3 linked regions of the Arabidopsis thaliana genome follow. The protein of the gene in region 2 purifies or fractionates together with the protein of the main gene of each other region. This does not show direct contact. Each region holds a gene or a part of one and is shown on either strand. Other genes may lie near its edges.

Region 1 (4,869 bases), on a different chromosome or scaffold from region 2:
AAGTGAAGAGCTCTATAAAGTTTGTCCTTACATACTCATCTCTACGTTAGTTCACTTCTCCATTTCTCTGATACATTTCTGTGAAAAATGTTGTAGTATATACTGGAGACTAGTGTGTACCCACGCGAGCCAGAGGTTCTCAGGGAGCTTAGGAACATTACTCATAACCACCCTCAAGCTGGTATGGCTACTGCACCAGACGCTGGCCAGTTGATGGGGATGCTGCTGAATCTGGTAAATGCAAGAAAGACTATCGAGGTTGGGGTTTTCACTGGATACTCTCTTCTCCTCACTGCTCTTACGCTACCAGAAGATGGCAAGGTATTTGCATAGATATGACCAAACCAAAAGAAAAAGTGTCATGATGTTTTTCGTTGTTTTGCTTCTGTATCATTTCTGCAACTGATTTGGTACACGAGCTCTGCAGGTTATCGCCATTGACATGAATAGAGACTCGTATGAAATAGGATTGCCGGTTATAAAGAAAGCTGGTGTTGAACACAAAATTGATTTCAAAGAGTCTGAAGCTCTTCCAGCCCTCGACGAGCTTTTAAACAATGTACAACTTCATACTTCTTTGTCTTTCAAAAAAAGAATTAGTATGTATCCTGAGATGGTCTTTTTGTTTTGATGTTTGTGATGCAGAAAGTGAATGAGGGTGGATTCGACTTCGCATTTGTGGATGCAGACAAGCTGAATTATTGGAACTATCATGAGAGGCTTATTAGATTGATCAAGGTTGGTGGGATCATAGTGTATGATAACACTCTCTGGGGAGGATCAGTTGCTGAACCGGACTCGTCCACGCCCGAGTGGAGGATAGAAGTCAAGAAAGCAACCCTCGAGCTGAACAAGAAACTCTCGGCTGATCAGCGTGTGCAGATCTCGCAAGCTGCGCTTGGCGATGGTATCACTATTTGCAGGAGGTTATATTGAGCGAGTATTGTTGTTCTTTGTGATCTTTAGGGTCATATGATTGTGAGCCCTTTATATTGAGCTATTGTGATGCAAGAGTGTTATTGTTCTATGTGATATTTTGGTTCCTGTGTGAATGTGAACCTTTTCTATCAAGTTTGTGGATTTCTTCAAATTTCAAGATTATAACAGACAGTTACGAAGAAACACAACTCATTTTATGTTTTGTGTCTTTTGGCAAAACTCCAAATTCTGAACATTGCTCTAAAATCTAATATAAAAAGTAAAAAAATGAATGGGGCGTTCCGAGAATCGAACTCGGGACCTCTCGCACCCAAAGCGAGAATCATACCACTAGACCAAACGCCCACATTGATATATAGTTTGCTAGCTTTTAATACAATGTATATTAAATAATTTAGTTTTGTGATATAAACAGTAAACAGAACAAGATATTTTCACCCAAAGTTAAAAAATCCAACGTTTGTTCAAAAATAAGAAAAAAACTATCCAAAGTTAAATTATCAAATGTTAAAAATCGTTAGACGTTAATCACAATATAAAGGAACTCTTTTTTTTTTTTTTGAGTTAAGAAACACTTAGTTGGGCCATAAAAATATAGGTCTAGTAGATGAAAGGCCCATAAAATCAACTAGGGTTAGTTCTTCTTCTTATAGAGCGCCGCATATAAGCTTCATCCTTCTCCGTCACCACCGGCTCTGTATTTCGGCATTTGTGGAGAGAAGAAGGTACTCTCATCCCTTTCTCTTTCTTATCTTAATCTCCTTTTTTAAAATTTGTGACAAAGTAAAATGAGCTAATCTCGTCTTTAAGATCATATGTCAAAACTGAATTTGAGTTTTGATATATTCAGGTAAAGAGAGAAGATAGAAACATAAAATGTCGGAGAAGAAGGGAAGGAAAGAGGAGGTGGTGACCAGAGAGTACACCATCAACCTTCACAGACGCCTTCATAGCTGGTAATTTCCAAAACACCAAAAACACTTTTGTCTTATTGCTTCAAAGCTTTTACTGTTAGATAGTGGAATTGGAATGTTGATAATGAGCTCTTAGCTAATGTTTTAATTCGATTGCTCTCTATGGATTGTGACATTGAAATGTTTGATCTTCTTTGTGTGTAAAACTAGTACCTTTAAGAAGAAGGCTCCAAAGGCGATCAAGGAGATAAGGAAGTTTGCTGAGAAGGAAATGGGGACAAAGGATGTGAGAGTGGATGTTAAATTGAACAAGCAGATTTGGAGCAAAGGTATCAGAGGTCCTCCGAGGAGAATCAGAGTCCGAGTTGCTCGTAAGAGAAATGATGATGAAGATGCAAAGGAAGAGTTCTTCTCTCTTGTCACTGTTGCTGAAATCCCTGCTGAAGGACTCTCTGGCCTCGGCACTAAGATCATTGAAGAAGAGGATTAAACTATCTTATAGTAACAACAACATTTGATCAGATTTTTCGAGTTTTGTTTTTCGAATCTTTATTGGAGAGAACATTTATCTTCTTGAATCCTTAAGCCTTGAATCATAGTATGCGATTGAGACAGAATCTCAGTCTTGTGTCGTAAGTAGTCTTCAACAATCCTTACACTTGTTTCGGTAAAGTTTGAGCATCTGGTTCGATCATGATAATATCTGCAGCTATGAATAAGTTTATGCACCTCTCTCAAGTGAATTGCTTGAATAAATCAAGAGTATTACATGTATGAACTGGAATCTAGTTCGAGTCAATCATGAGTTTTTAAACAAAACGAACTTCAGAGTTTCGTATCTATTTACAACAACAGAAGAATGTTCTTTAGGGGATAATAGAGTCAAAACTTGCACTCTTGCTATCACAAATTCACTCTGACGAGGTTTGAAAGTAGCTATTATCTCTCTACCGTGCTTTATATGCATACATATAGTTCCTCAGTTTTTTCACTTCCTCAGATGACTCCTCTAGAAGATGGTCCACGTATAGACAAATTCCAGCTCCACTGCAATTTCGAAGTACAGAAAAGTTGATGCAAACTTTAGTTTTACATACACAGGGGCATATAAAACAACACAAGGTTATATCTAAGCGATAGATACACATACCAAAGCGGCCCAAACGGAAGCCAGATAGCATCCCACCGGAATTTCGGAAGCCTAGAACACGGGTGAGATTTATAAGCATAAATTTACAAAGAGCACGAATGGAAGGAATAGACAAGAAATGTCCTTCATGTTGAATACAGCATAAACGACTAACACAAGGATTCATGCCACTAACAATGGCATTATAATAATGAAAGTTTGCGAAGTGCAAGATTGTATCGAAAAGAAAAGAAATGTATACTCTCTAGTGTACCTCAGCAAGTAATAAAGCCAAAAGATGGTCAATGCAGATCCAACAACACAAGAGTACCAGAACCATCGTCTATGATCATTCTTCTTATCTCGTAGCCCGACAATGGAGAGGGAGCAAGCCATGATAGCGATCCACTCTGATCCAAAAATCCAGTGATAAAAGATTTATTGTTCTAGTAATCAAATAACATGCGAAGCCAAAAATGAATTGAAGATAAAGCAACAAAGTCTTCTGAAGGCAGTAAGGTTTCAGTATGACCATAATTTGTTTTATCTTACTGTACTAGCAAAGACGCAATTTGACTTCCCTCAGGTCGAAAACACTCAAAATGCAATCACTCTTTCTAATTCTACACTAATCCACTAACAGATATGCTCTTAGATTCATATGCATATAACATATCTGTTTTTTCCCATGTTGTTACAGGATATTACACAGAAACTTCCACACAAGCTCAGAATTGGCTGTACCACCATATCGAATGGCAAGAGAAATCTAATAAACCGTGACTACAAAGTAAAAAAAATCACATAGATGTAAGACAAACCAGCTGAAATGACCATCCATGACTTGAGATCTTCCATAAAGTAGGCATGATACCGCTGCTCAAAAAAAATGGCATCCATAAGAACCCATGGAATATAGAACGTAGATAACGTGACATTTGTGTATGTATGTATAAGTGCTTGCAACTCCATACGCAGGCAGAATTAGTGTATCATACAAAGATTGCAAGTGTATTAGCTCACAATAGTCAGCAAGAAACTCAAAGCTCTAAATCCGTAATCTATCGTTAAAAAACAAAATCAATTTTAAACTGAACTCTTAAGTTTTAATCCAACTTTGTCTTCTAAGATCAAAATCGCTGCAACTGAAGACAAGTGATCTGATCTGAATTTTAACTTTGAATTCAATTCAACTTAAGCAACAAAACTAGTCAATCAAATGGAATTGCTAGAAGGACGAACAAGGCCACACTTAAGGAGAGATTATCAGTACCAGTTCCCATGGTGACATGAACTGCTGGAAAATGGAGTAGAAGAGGAAAGCTCCAAAGCAGATCAGAAGAACCACAAACACGCTCTACACAAAAGATAAACACAAACTTACTTAAGAAACAGAACTCCTCAAAATTTTGCAGAAATTGAATATTGTTCTTAGATCATACCCTCCATTGAAGACTTTGCTGAGCATGAGCTTCCTCAAGATACCGAACGTACTCCTCCTGCTCTGTAAAACGACAGTGATAGCAATAAACTATTACGAACTTGCTTTTACAAATCTGCCAAAAATTCCAGAGGATGAGAGAAACAAAATAAACCTTGCGTATCAATAGGCCGAGAATCGACGTCTTCAGAAGTAGGAAGGACGAACTTATCATCATCTTCGTCACGACGAGTTCTCCGCCATTTTCTCGCTAACTTCTTCATTTGATTTTTCTTCAGATTGCAGAAGTAGAAGATGGAGAAATTAGGAAAACTTCAATGAGCATCATCGTTTCTTCAACGAAAGTGTCTCCAGCCAAAACGCCTTTAAGCTACGGCCTATTAAGAAGCCCAGCCCATAGTTTAGCAAGATTGATTCGGTTTCTTATCTCCGGCTTGGTTTGCTGT
Region 2 (5,203 bases):
TTAATTTTTAAAATGCATTTTTTGTAACTATTTCTGGAAAGGAAATCTGTCTTTGTAAAATAATTAAATATATATTATAATAAACTTTTAAAGAAAATCAGATTCCTTTAAGAAAAATTTAAGAATTTAACTCAAAAGTTTAATGTGCTTTGTGTGTTTATTGATACACATCATGGATACTCAATTACTGTTAGACACAATTGCAATAATTGCGATTCTTTAAACCATACATGGAGAAGAAGAAGTCCTATATATAATAAATGAATGTTATAAGAAGAGAGATAGCTAGGCAGGAATCTTTGGACATATAATAGACTTCAAACTCAATTTCTAACCAAAAAACGAGATCTCTTTAAGTTATTTTACAATGGAATTGTGGATCAACATCTTATTAGGCATTGGCATTGCACTGGTCCTCGGGGTGATTGTGTTTAGTTTCCTTAAGTTGCTCGGCGTTAAGTTCTCCAAGGAAAAAACGACACCAACCGATGTGTGAAGCAAAACATCTTATTTGGGAAGTTGTTGACTACAATAAAAACTAGTCCTGCAAATTATGTAGATATAATCATATAATTTATAATTAAGAAATAAAGTAAATTACCCAACTATATATTTAAGATATATATACATTATACATAGTGGTTACTGTATATGCAAACTATTTTGCTCAATAAGATGATTAGAGATTTACTTTTGGCTTTCCCTAAACAAAAAAACCGTATATCCCGCGTTTGCCAGAAAAAAAACGACTCAAAATCAGCTTAAAATAGAATTGAAGAAATTGCATTGAAACCACCAAATAAGGGAAAATCTTCTGGCTATCCTTTGACTTCCAACTTCTACATCCAATAATCATCCGCCACGTAGCTTTTATGCATATGTAAAAAAGAAATAGGCAAGAAAAAAAGAGAGCCTTTGTGATCGAACAAAGAGGACAACATTTGAGATTTCTTTCTTCTTACGTTACCTCTCTCTTAAACAAAACAAGAAACAAGATAACAACACAAATAAGTTTGAGAAAAAAACTTTTTGATTTGAAGATAGTAACATTTTGTGTAGTTTTCTTAACCAGGTATCATTTTCTTCTTCTCCAAACAGAAATAGATGTGTGTGTTTTTTATCTTATCGTTTGTTTATATATTCCTCTCAAATTTGCAGAAACTCATAGCTCTTGGACATCTATATGAATCTATTTCTTTGTTAAATAGGGTTTTATCTACTCCACAAACATGTAAGTTCTTTTTTATTTTTCTTAAGATTCTTATCGCAATAGGATTCACGCAAAAACAATTTAATTCTTTGGCCAATCTATGCATTACCGAAAGTTGTATCCCTAAGAGAAGAAGAATCTCAAAGAAAAAATATTAATTTATGAAAAAATGTTTATTTTTTTTCCTTGGTGTGCAAGCTAGGTATGCATCTGCAAGTTGAATATGACCTCACCTATGAAGGGTCTATTAAAAGGTTTGAGGTACATTGCTCGTATCTTCGGTGAGTTTATTTGTTCTCGAAACAAAGATCATATATGTCTATACAATTACCAAAAATCAGATTCTTAAATCTTATAAAAAAAAATTGTTGTAGAGGATGAGAAGGAACCAGAGATGCAGATTGGAATACCAACCGATGTCAAACATGTTGCTCATATAGGATGGGAAGGGCCCTCAGCTACCACCCCAAGCTGGGTATATCCTTCTCTCAATATTTTTATAACATATTCTACATATCTTTTGTTTGTGGATTAGGTCAAATATTTTCATGGGAATATGCAGATGCATGATTTCAAGCCTACCGATCAAACGAAGACTGAGACGAAAGGAACATCTAACAAAAAACCTGGGAGTTCCGGGGAGAAACATAGGAAGGGAAGACGTAAAACATCAACAGGAAACAACTCACCTACAGAATCTCCATCAAGGGTAGGAGGATCAGTAAGGCCATCAAAACGCAACACGGGGAAACAAAGAGAGCAGAACACGGGTTCAGGGTCAGAGTCAGGTTCAGGATTAGAGTTACCTCAACAGACTGATCAGTTTGTTGTACCAAAACAATCAAAGCAAAAAAAGTCAAAAGGATCAGCAACAGGAGGAGGCGAACCTCCTCCATCTAATGAACCATCAAACAAGAAAGAAACAGATATATCTGTGAGAGCGGTTTACCCTTGTGCGGGTCTTGGAAGTTCTACAGGAAGATGAAAGATGAGGAACAAAGAAAGAGAGTGTTATATTTTCAAGATTAGACTAGAGTGTGGTGGTGGTGGTGGTATTGTTTCTTCTCATGATTGATCTACACACTTTAGTCTTTTCTCTCCCTTTTGTTGGAAATGCCTTTGCATTACAAGACCAATGTTTTATATCGCGTCGAGAAAAGAGAACCCTTTGATGATTGTGAACCAGGGATGTGAAATATATGCTTGCTTAACACTCTTAAATTATTCTCAAGGAATCTTTCGATTGTGTTCTTAGGATTCAATTAGTAATAGACTTGAGTGTGTTTGACATATCTATTGGGCTTCGATTGTTTGTTGCGTTTACATGTTATAATAGGTTTTTATTTCTTGGTTCAAACGAAACCAAAACTTAAAAGTAAATCATTTTTTTCTACTGAATTTTGTTTTTGATGCTTTTGATTTCATTTGATCACTTCAACTTTAGTTCCAGGGTCTTGACGATTTAATTCAAAAAGCAAAAAAATCAATAGGAAACAAAAACTCATAAAGGACTTTGACATACAGATGGGCCCATTGTTTATGACCAATCCTTATACTATATATGGGCCTTATTAGTTAAACCTAAGGCCCAAAGTCAGATTAGGGTTTTCAGAAAGTGTACTATAAATTCTTCTTCTTTAAACAACTTCGTCTAGTGGAACGACGACGGCACAAAAGCTTCACCGGAGATCAGAGACGCGAAAATGGTAAATTGTTTCTTCTCTTTCGATGTGATTTTGGAATTTGTAAAGTTCGTTGACTTTGAAGAACAACAATACATGGTTGATTGATTTATTGTATTGTTTTTCAGATCTATCATAAAAGTTTTCAATCTAAATGATGTTTGTATTTTGATTAACCTTAAAAGTCTCTTGATTTTGTATGTGTGTGAGTGATTCATTTTTGATTTTATGAATTTTGAAGGTGAACATTCCAAAGACAAAGAACACTTACTGTAAGAACAAGGAATGCAAAAAGCATACTTTGCACAAGGTTACCCAATACAAGAAGGGTAAAGACAGTCTTGCTGCTCAAGGAAAGCGTCGTTATGACCGTAAACAATCTGGTTATGGTGGTCAGACTAAGCCTGTCTTCCACAAAAAGGTAACATTGATTATCATGCATTGATTGTTTTTTCAGTTTGAATTAGGTCTAGTTAGTTGAAATGAGGTAGTTTTAAGGAACCATTTATAGTAGAATTTTGGAAGTGAGCTGTGAGGAAACAGACATTCCAATAGTCTCAGTTTTGGACTGAGATACATCTTGTGAATCTTGTTAACAGGCTAAGACCACGAAGAAGATTGTTTTGAGGCTTCAGTGTCAAAGCTGCAAGCACTTTTCGCAGCGTCCTATCAAGGTGCATAGAACATAGATCAGTTCATTATACCGGATTTGTAACTTGGTAATTTGCTTACATTGTGTTGGTTTGTTGTTTATTTCAGAGGTGCAAGCATTTCGAGATCGGTGGTGACAAGAAGGGAAAGGGAACATCTCTGTTTTAAGTTGGTTTCATCTTATTTTCTGCGATTTTTGTACTTGCTGGATTTGGAATCCATTTGTTTTAGCTCTCTCGTATAAGATTGTCTCATCTTTGCTTGTTAACTCTATATTTTGAATCATCAAGATATGGTTTTGCTGTTAATCATTGACCTTCGATATTTTTTTGCCAATCCGTTCTCTCTACCAACCTAAGAAAAAATCACTAATATCTCACATTAGAGGGTGCAAAATTTGGAAGGTCTATATCATTGTCCAATTTTCTGAGTCATACAAATTCTTTCATATGATTCATTGAACAAGACACTCATTTACTTATAAAGCGCATTTATATGTTCACATGATTTGTACAAAACTCATGAGACTGCATCAAGCAGAAAGTATTTATTTATCTTTACATGTCAAAGCTTTGAGAATTAAGCAATGACGAATACCCTAAGTTCACCTCTGTCCCCGCGAGTTATGCGCATGGTATCATCAACATAGGTAACTTCGAAATCCCCAGTTCCAGGGTTTGACGATGGTCTGAAACTGTCGGGAAGCCTCGGGATATCAAACGGAGGAATCTGCGACAAGTTTCCCGATGTCTTCACAGTTGTTTTCTCAAATGTTATCTTGATCTTGCAAGTGCCTGTTTTCCCCATAAATGTCAAAGATACAGATAAGTTATTTTGCTCTTACACAATTCGATAAACTTAATGAGAGAAAGGGAAATGCAAACCTAAGAGTTCAAACTTGTGTGCCAATGTCGCAGTGGCTTCTAATGGCGGAAATGGCCAAGGGGCTCCTAATTCCACCTCTGCTATGTTATCAAAATCTTTGCTAAACACATCAATCCGTTGAAACACCTGTTTTAATGATTCAGAAACAAGAGATAATATTAAAGAAGTTTGCTTTCTACCGATTCAGGTATGGTTCTTTGCCAAATTTAAACCAAAGAAAGCTAGATTCTAAGCTCATCACCATTCAAACTCAACCAAGAATAAAGATGATTGACTAAGACCGTACACATAAACTTGGCAATATAGAAAAAAATGATTAAGGAGTAGATGACATTGCTAGATTCTAAGCTCCTCACCATTCAAGCTCAACAAAGACTACCAATGATAGACCAGACCGTACACATAAACTTGACAATATAGAAAAAAGTTTGCTTTCGAGTATAAGATGACATTACCAAATTGTAACCTCAGAAAGCTAGATTCTTAGCTCAGCCCCATTCAAACTCAAGCAAGACTATTGATGATAGACTAGACCATGCACATAAACTCCTCAACAACTTACCCGAAAAACCGAATCTTGACGGGTAAAAACAGAGCAATGATTCAAGAATTACCTGGCCAAGAGTAACAGGGATCAAACGTCCAGTAGGTAGACCAGGACGGCTACCACCTAAAGACCGAGAAGAGAACGCACTACTATACAACAGCCTCCATTTCCCTTGAAGCTTATCAAGATCATCGGTTAAATCAACCGGTCCCCCAGCAGTTTCAAGTT
Region 3 (5,540 bases), on a different chromosome or scaffold from region 2:
GCTGAAGTCTCTGTGTTTCTTGGCGGGAATAAACCTTCTAGAACTGCGGATTTACGTGGTGACATCAGTGTTAATTTTTCATGTGATCCAGAAATCTCCTCTAAACTGGTATGTCCATCTTCTAACACTATCTGACGGGTTTCTCTATATCTTTGGCTGCCTGTTGGTCACCAAAGCCACCTCTGTGTCCTTCAGGTTGATTTAGCTTTAGAAGAAATTGTACGGCTTCAAAAGGAAGGCCCTTCACAGGAAGACATTTCAGCTATCCTTGAAATCGAACAAAGAGCTCATGAAAATGGCATGCAGGTATTTTTTATTGCCATAATCATCACAAATCCATCACAGCCAAAAAACCATAATTTGCTGCAGAAACAAAACTGATTTAATTTTGTTCTTGTCAGGAAAACTATTACTGGTTAGACAGGATTATACGTGGATATCAATCAAGGGTTTACGCTGGCGATTTGGGCGCCTCTTGCAAGGTCAGTTTAGAAAACATTTTTTGTCAATACTTTGATCATTTTTTATAAACACAGTCTTACGAAAAGGGAAGAAACTTCTCTGTGGTTTTTAGATTTTAGAAGAAGGGCGTTTGCGAATGAGAGAGTCACTTGCACCACAAACAGCACAAGCTGCATTACAGCGAATCCTTCCTCACCCGTGCAAGAAACAGTACACTGCTGTTATTCTCATGCCGCAGAGATCTCGTTTTGGATTTCTTTCATCTATCTTTAGTTCACGATCCGAGGGCCCTTATATCCGTGATACCAAGGTCAGTGTTCATCTGTTCTTTGTCTTGTCTCCGTAAATGTAACATTGCAATCACTAAGATATGAATTTGGATCTTTGGTTACTAGATTTTGGCTGGCATTGCGGGATTGGGTGTTGTTGTTTTTGGCATCTGGAGATACTCTCGCAAGTAGAAGTATGAACTCTCTTTCTTTCAATTTTCTGATTATTTAACCCCAAGATTTCAGAGTTTTTAAATGTATCTGTGAACCTCAGCGTTTATTATGTAAGTTCCCATTATTTTTCATGAATATAGAAACACAAACTTATTTGTTTGCTACATTGTTTGTGCCATGACTATCATAGTTTTCAACTTTTGGTCTATACATTGAGACAGGAATAAGCTAAATCCTTCTCTTCAGCTAGCTCTCGTGCAGAGTCATCCATTTTCTCCCTCGAAAACTCGTCTATACTGAGTCCTTGTACGATCTTCCAACTCCCTTTCTCACAGATAACCGGAAACGAGTAAACCAAACCAGGTGGTATACCATATGAGCCGTCAGAACAAACACCCATAGAAACCCAAGTTCCTTTAGGGGTTCCAAGAAACCAATCACGGATATGGTCACAAGCTGCACCAGCAGCGGAAAAAGCACTCGACTGTTTCCGTGCTCTTAAAACAGCTGCACCGCGTTGCTGAACTTCCACGATAAACTCGTTCTTCAGCCAGTTGTGATCTGTGACTAGTTCTTTTAACGGTCTGTCTCCAGTTTTTGTAGAGACTGTTGCGTGATTGGTGTCGGGATATTGAGTTGAAGAATGGTTACCCCAAACGATCACGTTCTTTACACTGCTCACGGGAACACTTAGCTTATCTGCAAGCTGAGCTAGAGCTCGATTATGGTCGAGTCGTGTCAGGCAAGTGATATTTTCTTCCGGGATTGATGGCGCAAACTCTTTTAAGATCAGAGCATTAGTGTTTGCAGGGTTTGCGACAACAAGAACCTTGCAATCATCTGATGCATAACGCTCTAAAGCCGAAGCTTGAGCTTTATATATCACAACATTTTTCGACATCACATCTTTTCTTTCCATGCCTGCTATCCTTGGGAATCCGCCGATCATTATCACGATATTCACATCTTTACATGCTTCAACAACATTTGTTGTCGCGATAACGCCTTTGAGAAGAGGGAAAGCTGAATCTTGAAGCTCCATTTTCACAGCTTCTAGTGAACTTGAAGCTGGCTCTATATCAAGTAAATGCAGAATCATGGGTTGATCTGGACCTAGCATAATACCTCTTGCAATCATTGGAGCAATTGCATATCCTATGTTTCCTGTTCAATAGAAAGTTCTCAATTAAATTAAGAACAAACGACCATAAAGGTAGGGAGTAGTAGATAAAAGACTCCAATAAAAAAACACTGAACCAAACCAAATAAATTGATAGAATTATAAATCAAAACATAAACCGGATCGTTTTTTGTTTGAGTTCTTACCTGCTGCACCGGTAATCAAAACCCTTATAGGATCTTTCTCAATGTTTAACAAATTACACATGTATATTATCATTTTCCATGACAAACCAACACAAAACAGTAGAACCAAAACTTTCTGAATCACAAAAGTATAATTAATTTCTTCTCCAACGAACTCCATTGTTTTCCAAGTAAAAAAGATAATAAAGCAACGAATGAATGTCATGCATTCCAAAGTTCAATTTATAAAACCAAAAAAAATAATCAAGAAGACATAAGGAATCTATGAAAAGCTTCTAAGAGGACATAACCTGATACTTAACAAAACTTCGTCTTACAAAAAATCTAAGTCATGCAACAAAAACAAGGAATCTATAAAAAGAAATGTAGCCAAATAAAGATCCTCAAACTTTTATTTTTGTTGGTTAACATGGGTGATTAATTAATCGAACCAATCAGTTTAAATTCGAGTAAAACATTTACTTCATATGTATTTGGGCCGTAAATGGGCTACTAAAATAAGAAAGCGTAAGAGGGAAATGCCAAGCATAATAGCACAAAAAATAGGCCCATTAAAGCCCAATCATTTATTTATTTTAGGGTTAACTCAAAGTGCCGCATATATATGCTTAGTTCTCTTCCTTCGTCCCCTTTCTGTCTCTCGGCGTTCTTCAATCGAAAGGTACTACTCTCTCTCTCTCTTTCTCAATCTAGCTCAATTCTGTGTCCTTGACCTAGCTTTGAACAGATCTGTTTGATTTCCGGTGAAAAGAATCGATTTTGAAGTGGTTTTTTGTAATGGGTAATCGCAGGTAAAGAGTTTGAAGAAGTAAGTCACAGAGAAAGAGAAGATGTCTGAGAAAAAGGGAAGGAAAGAGGAAGTGATTACCAGAGAGTACACCATTAACCTCCACAGACGCCTTCACAAATGGTAAGATTTCACTCTTTGTGTTCATGTTTTGAGCTGCTTGTTGGTTAATATCATAGGGTTGTAATGAAATTAAGTTAGCTAATCTTTTTCTAAATGTAATCAGACGTTTAGTCCAGAGAATCTGATCTTTTGAAATTCATGGTGTTATTGAATTCATGGGGAAATGGTATCTATTGTTTTGAAAAATCGTATCAAGTGTGTTTTGTTACTTAAAGTAAAAATTTGTACTGATTGTTTTTTGGATTTACTATCGAAATTAGTCTTGAAATGAAAGGGTATAGTTCATTTGATATATCTTGTAAAAGAGAATTAAGATTAGAGTTTGGTTTGTGGAATGTGGTTTTTTGGTGGGTTTGGTTTTATGTGATTAAGTATCTCTACTTATGTATTATTGGTTTGTAACAGCACCTTTAAGAAGAAGGCACCGAAAGCCATCAAGGAAATCAGGAAGTTCGCAGAGAAAGCTATGGGGACTAAGGACGTTAGGGTAGACGTGAAATTGAACAAGCAAATCTGGAGCAAGGGAATCAGAGGTCCACCAAGGAGGATCAGGGTTCGTGTTGCACGTAAGAGAAACGACGATGAAGATGCGAAGGAAGAGTTCTTCTCCCTTGTCACTGTTGCTGAAATCCCTGCAGAAGGACTCAGTGGTCTTGGCACAAAGGTCATCGAAGAGGAGGATTAAGAGAATCAGTAGAACAAGTTTTGTTTGGTTTTTTACTTTTGTTGCTGTGTTTCAATTAAAAGTCTTGACCTTTCACTTTCTTCATTGTAGTGCATCTTGAATTTACTTATGCAGTTTATTGAAGAGACCCATTTTCTTCTTCATGATTGACTCTTGTTTTGCTTTGGAATTTTCTTTATGCTTGTTAATTGTCGAATCTCACATTTACACAAAGTAGATCGTAGGAATGATCTGTGTATAAAATTATGCTAGATGTCGTCCAAATTATTTTTTATTTTTTACTTTTTTTTGACAAAAAAAATAAATCAACTAGGTTTAACTTTGAATCAAGAGCTGTTGATAAGATGTCTTGCGCTGAGAAGTACAGCTGTGTTCACCTTCGCTACTTTCATGCTCGGATCTGTGTAATCGTAGCTTCTTAAACAGGCATGAGACTATTTGACTGAGCTTCCGAACTAGTAGTTTACAAGGCCATAAGGCAGAGACATACAGATTGTAGTTTACCACATAAAAGCCAGACGATAGATTGTTCGAAAACAAGTTCCCACATTCGAAGAAGAAATACAAAAAACCATACTCTTAGATCATTTTCAAGTTTCTATTGTGAAGCATATCTCATAAAACTCAAATTCCATGATACCGTTCTGGTCTGCTTAAGATTGATGAAGATTTCAAGCAACGAGCATGTTTGAAGATATAACTCAAGAAATCCCTCTCTTCAGGTGTTCCTATGTAACCTGCAAACTCAAAAGTTTCAAGACTCTCCAACAAACATTTCGGGACGGAGCTCTTATTATTTTTCCAGCGAACCGGTTCATAATCCCCCAAACTTGACGGATACTAAGATTAAAAAGAAAAAGTAAAGGTTAGAATACTACACTATAGTGTGAATTTAGACTACAAAATAGTCGACGAAGAAACTTACATCATCAACGAGGAGATTGAGGACTCGCAGGTTAGGTGAGTCTTTGAGAAACTGGATAAGTAACTTGGACCAATCACCATTGCATATACATAGCTTCAAATTTTCAAGCCGATTGAAGACTATTCCATCACGATACACAGTCTGCACACATGACAACACAATAAAAAAGGATTCAAGCTCAAGAAATCCGATTTTGTGTCTTTAAGTAAAAAATATGAGGTAGGAAACATGACATGAAAGCAGATGACCTCTGTATAAGTGTTGAATATTACGCGTATAGAAAGGCGTTTGAAAAATGTAACTGATTCGAGAAGCTTCTCGGGATACTGCAGAACAACAATATCTGCCTCTTCCAGCTCTGGCATTTGCTCAATCAAATAGGACATACTTTCTCTATAATCCACAACTTTGAAATACTTCAAAGAAGGAGTAACTATCACATACCCATCAGAAGAACAATTACCAGGTATCTCTAAGGATAAACGCTGCAAGGATGGGACAATAACAACTAACGCTCTCAAATTGTCATAGTCTTCTCGTACAATACTCAGATCTTCCAGAACAGGGCAGTAGGATAGAAGCAGGCGAAGAGAATCTTCATCTGAGTATCTCAAACGTTCAAGTTGCAAAGTTTTCAAGGAAGGGAGGAATACCGTTCGAGGAACATCCAAAAGAACCTTCTTACCGTAAAGTTTCAAAGTCACGAGCGATTTGCAGGTATACAAACTACTGGGCAATGATACAGCAGCTGTCGTATCATGTAAACTGATGCTTAGCTCACGCACACAG

What was found.
Region 1: the proteins of AT3G23390 (region 2) and AT4G26230 fractionate together in Arabidopsis thaliana (co-fractionation; one large-scale study listed by BioGRID). This does not show direct contact.
Region 3: the proteins of AT3G23390 (region 2) and AT5G56710 fractionate together in Arabidopsis thaliana (co-fractionation; one large-scale study listed by BioGRID). This does not show direct contact.

Annotation. Positions count from the first base shown.
Region 1 is NC_003075.7:13,284,211-13,289,079, forward strand, and holds AT4G26230 (Ribosomal protein L31e family protein), read left to right. Parts: upstream 1-1,526; 5' UTR 1,527-1,664; intron 1,665-1,789; 5' UTR 1,790-1,815; coding exon 1,816-1,895; intron 1,896-2,063; coding exon 2,064-2,343; 3' UTR 2,344-2,581; downstream 2,582-4,869. Other genes in the region: AT4G26220 (S-adenosyl-L-methionine-dependent methyltransferases superfamily protein), read left to right, coding at 1-19, 97-321, 428-559, 646-936; AT4G26240 (histone-lysine N-methyltransferase), read right to left, coding at 2,801-2,900, 3,004-3,054, 3,257-3,392, 3,804-3,858, 4,256-4,339, 4,425-4,486, 4,578-4,686.
Region 2 is NC_003074.8:8,372,514-8,377,716, forward strand, and holds AT3G23390 (Zinc-binding ribosomal protein family protein), read left to right. Parts: upstream 1-2,819; 5' UTR 2,820-2,913; coding exon 2,914-2,916; intron 2,917-3,133; coding exon 3,134-3,313; intron 3,314-3,491; coding exon 3,492-3,566; intron 3,567-3,651; coding exon 3,652-3,711; 3' UTR 3,712-3,923; downstream 3,924-5,203. Other genes in the region: RIC5 (ROP-interactive CRIB motif-containing protein 5), read left to right, coding at 1,434-1,491, 1,585-1,685, 1,773-2,195; FIB4 (Plastid-lipid associated protein PAP / fibrillin family protein), read right to left, coding at 4,123-4,337, 4,428-4,554, 5,043-5,203.
Region 3 is NC_003076.8:22,942,289-22,947,828, reverse strand, and holds AT5G56710 (Ribosomal protein L31e family protein), read left to right. Parts: upstream 1-2,835; 5' UTR 2,836-2,892; intron 2,893-3,022; 5' UTR 3,023-3,061; coding exon 3,062-3,141; intron 3,142-3,546; coding exon 3,547-3,826; 3' UTR 3,827-4,122; downstream 4,123-5,540. Other genes in the region: AT5G56730 (Insulinase (Peptidase family M16) protein), read left to right, coding at 1-108, 196-306, 402-482, 575-772, 858-923; c-NAD-MDH3 (Lactate/malate dehydrogenase family protein), read right to left, coding at 1,111-2,069, 2,232-2,391; AT5G56700 (FBD / Leucine Rich Repeat domains containing protein), read right to left, coding at 4,451-4,666, 4,752-4,892, 5,000-5,540.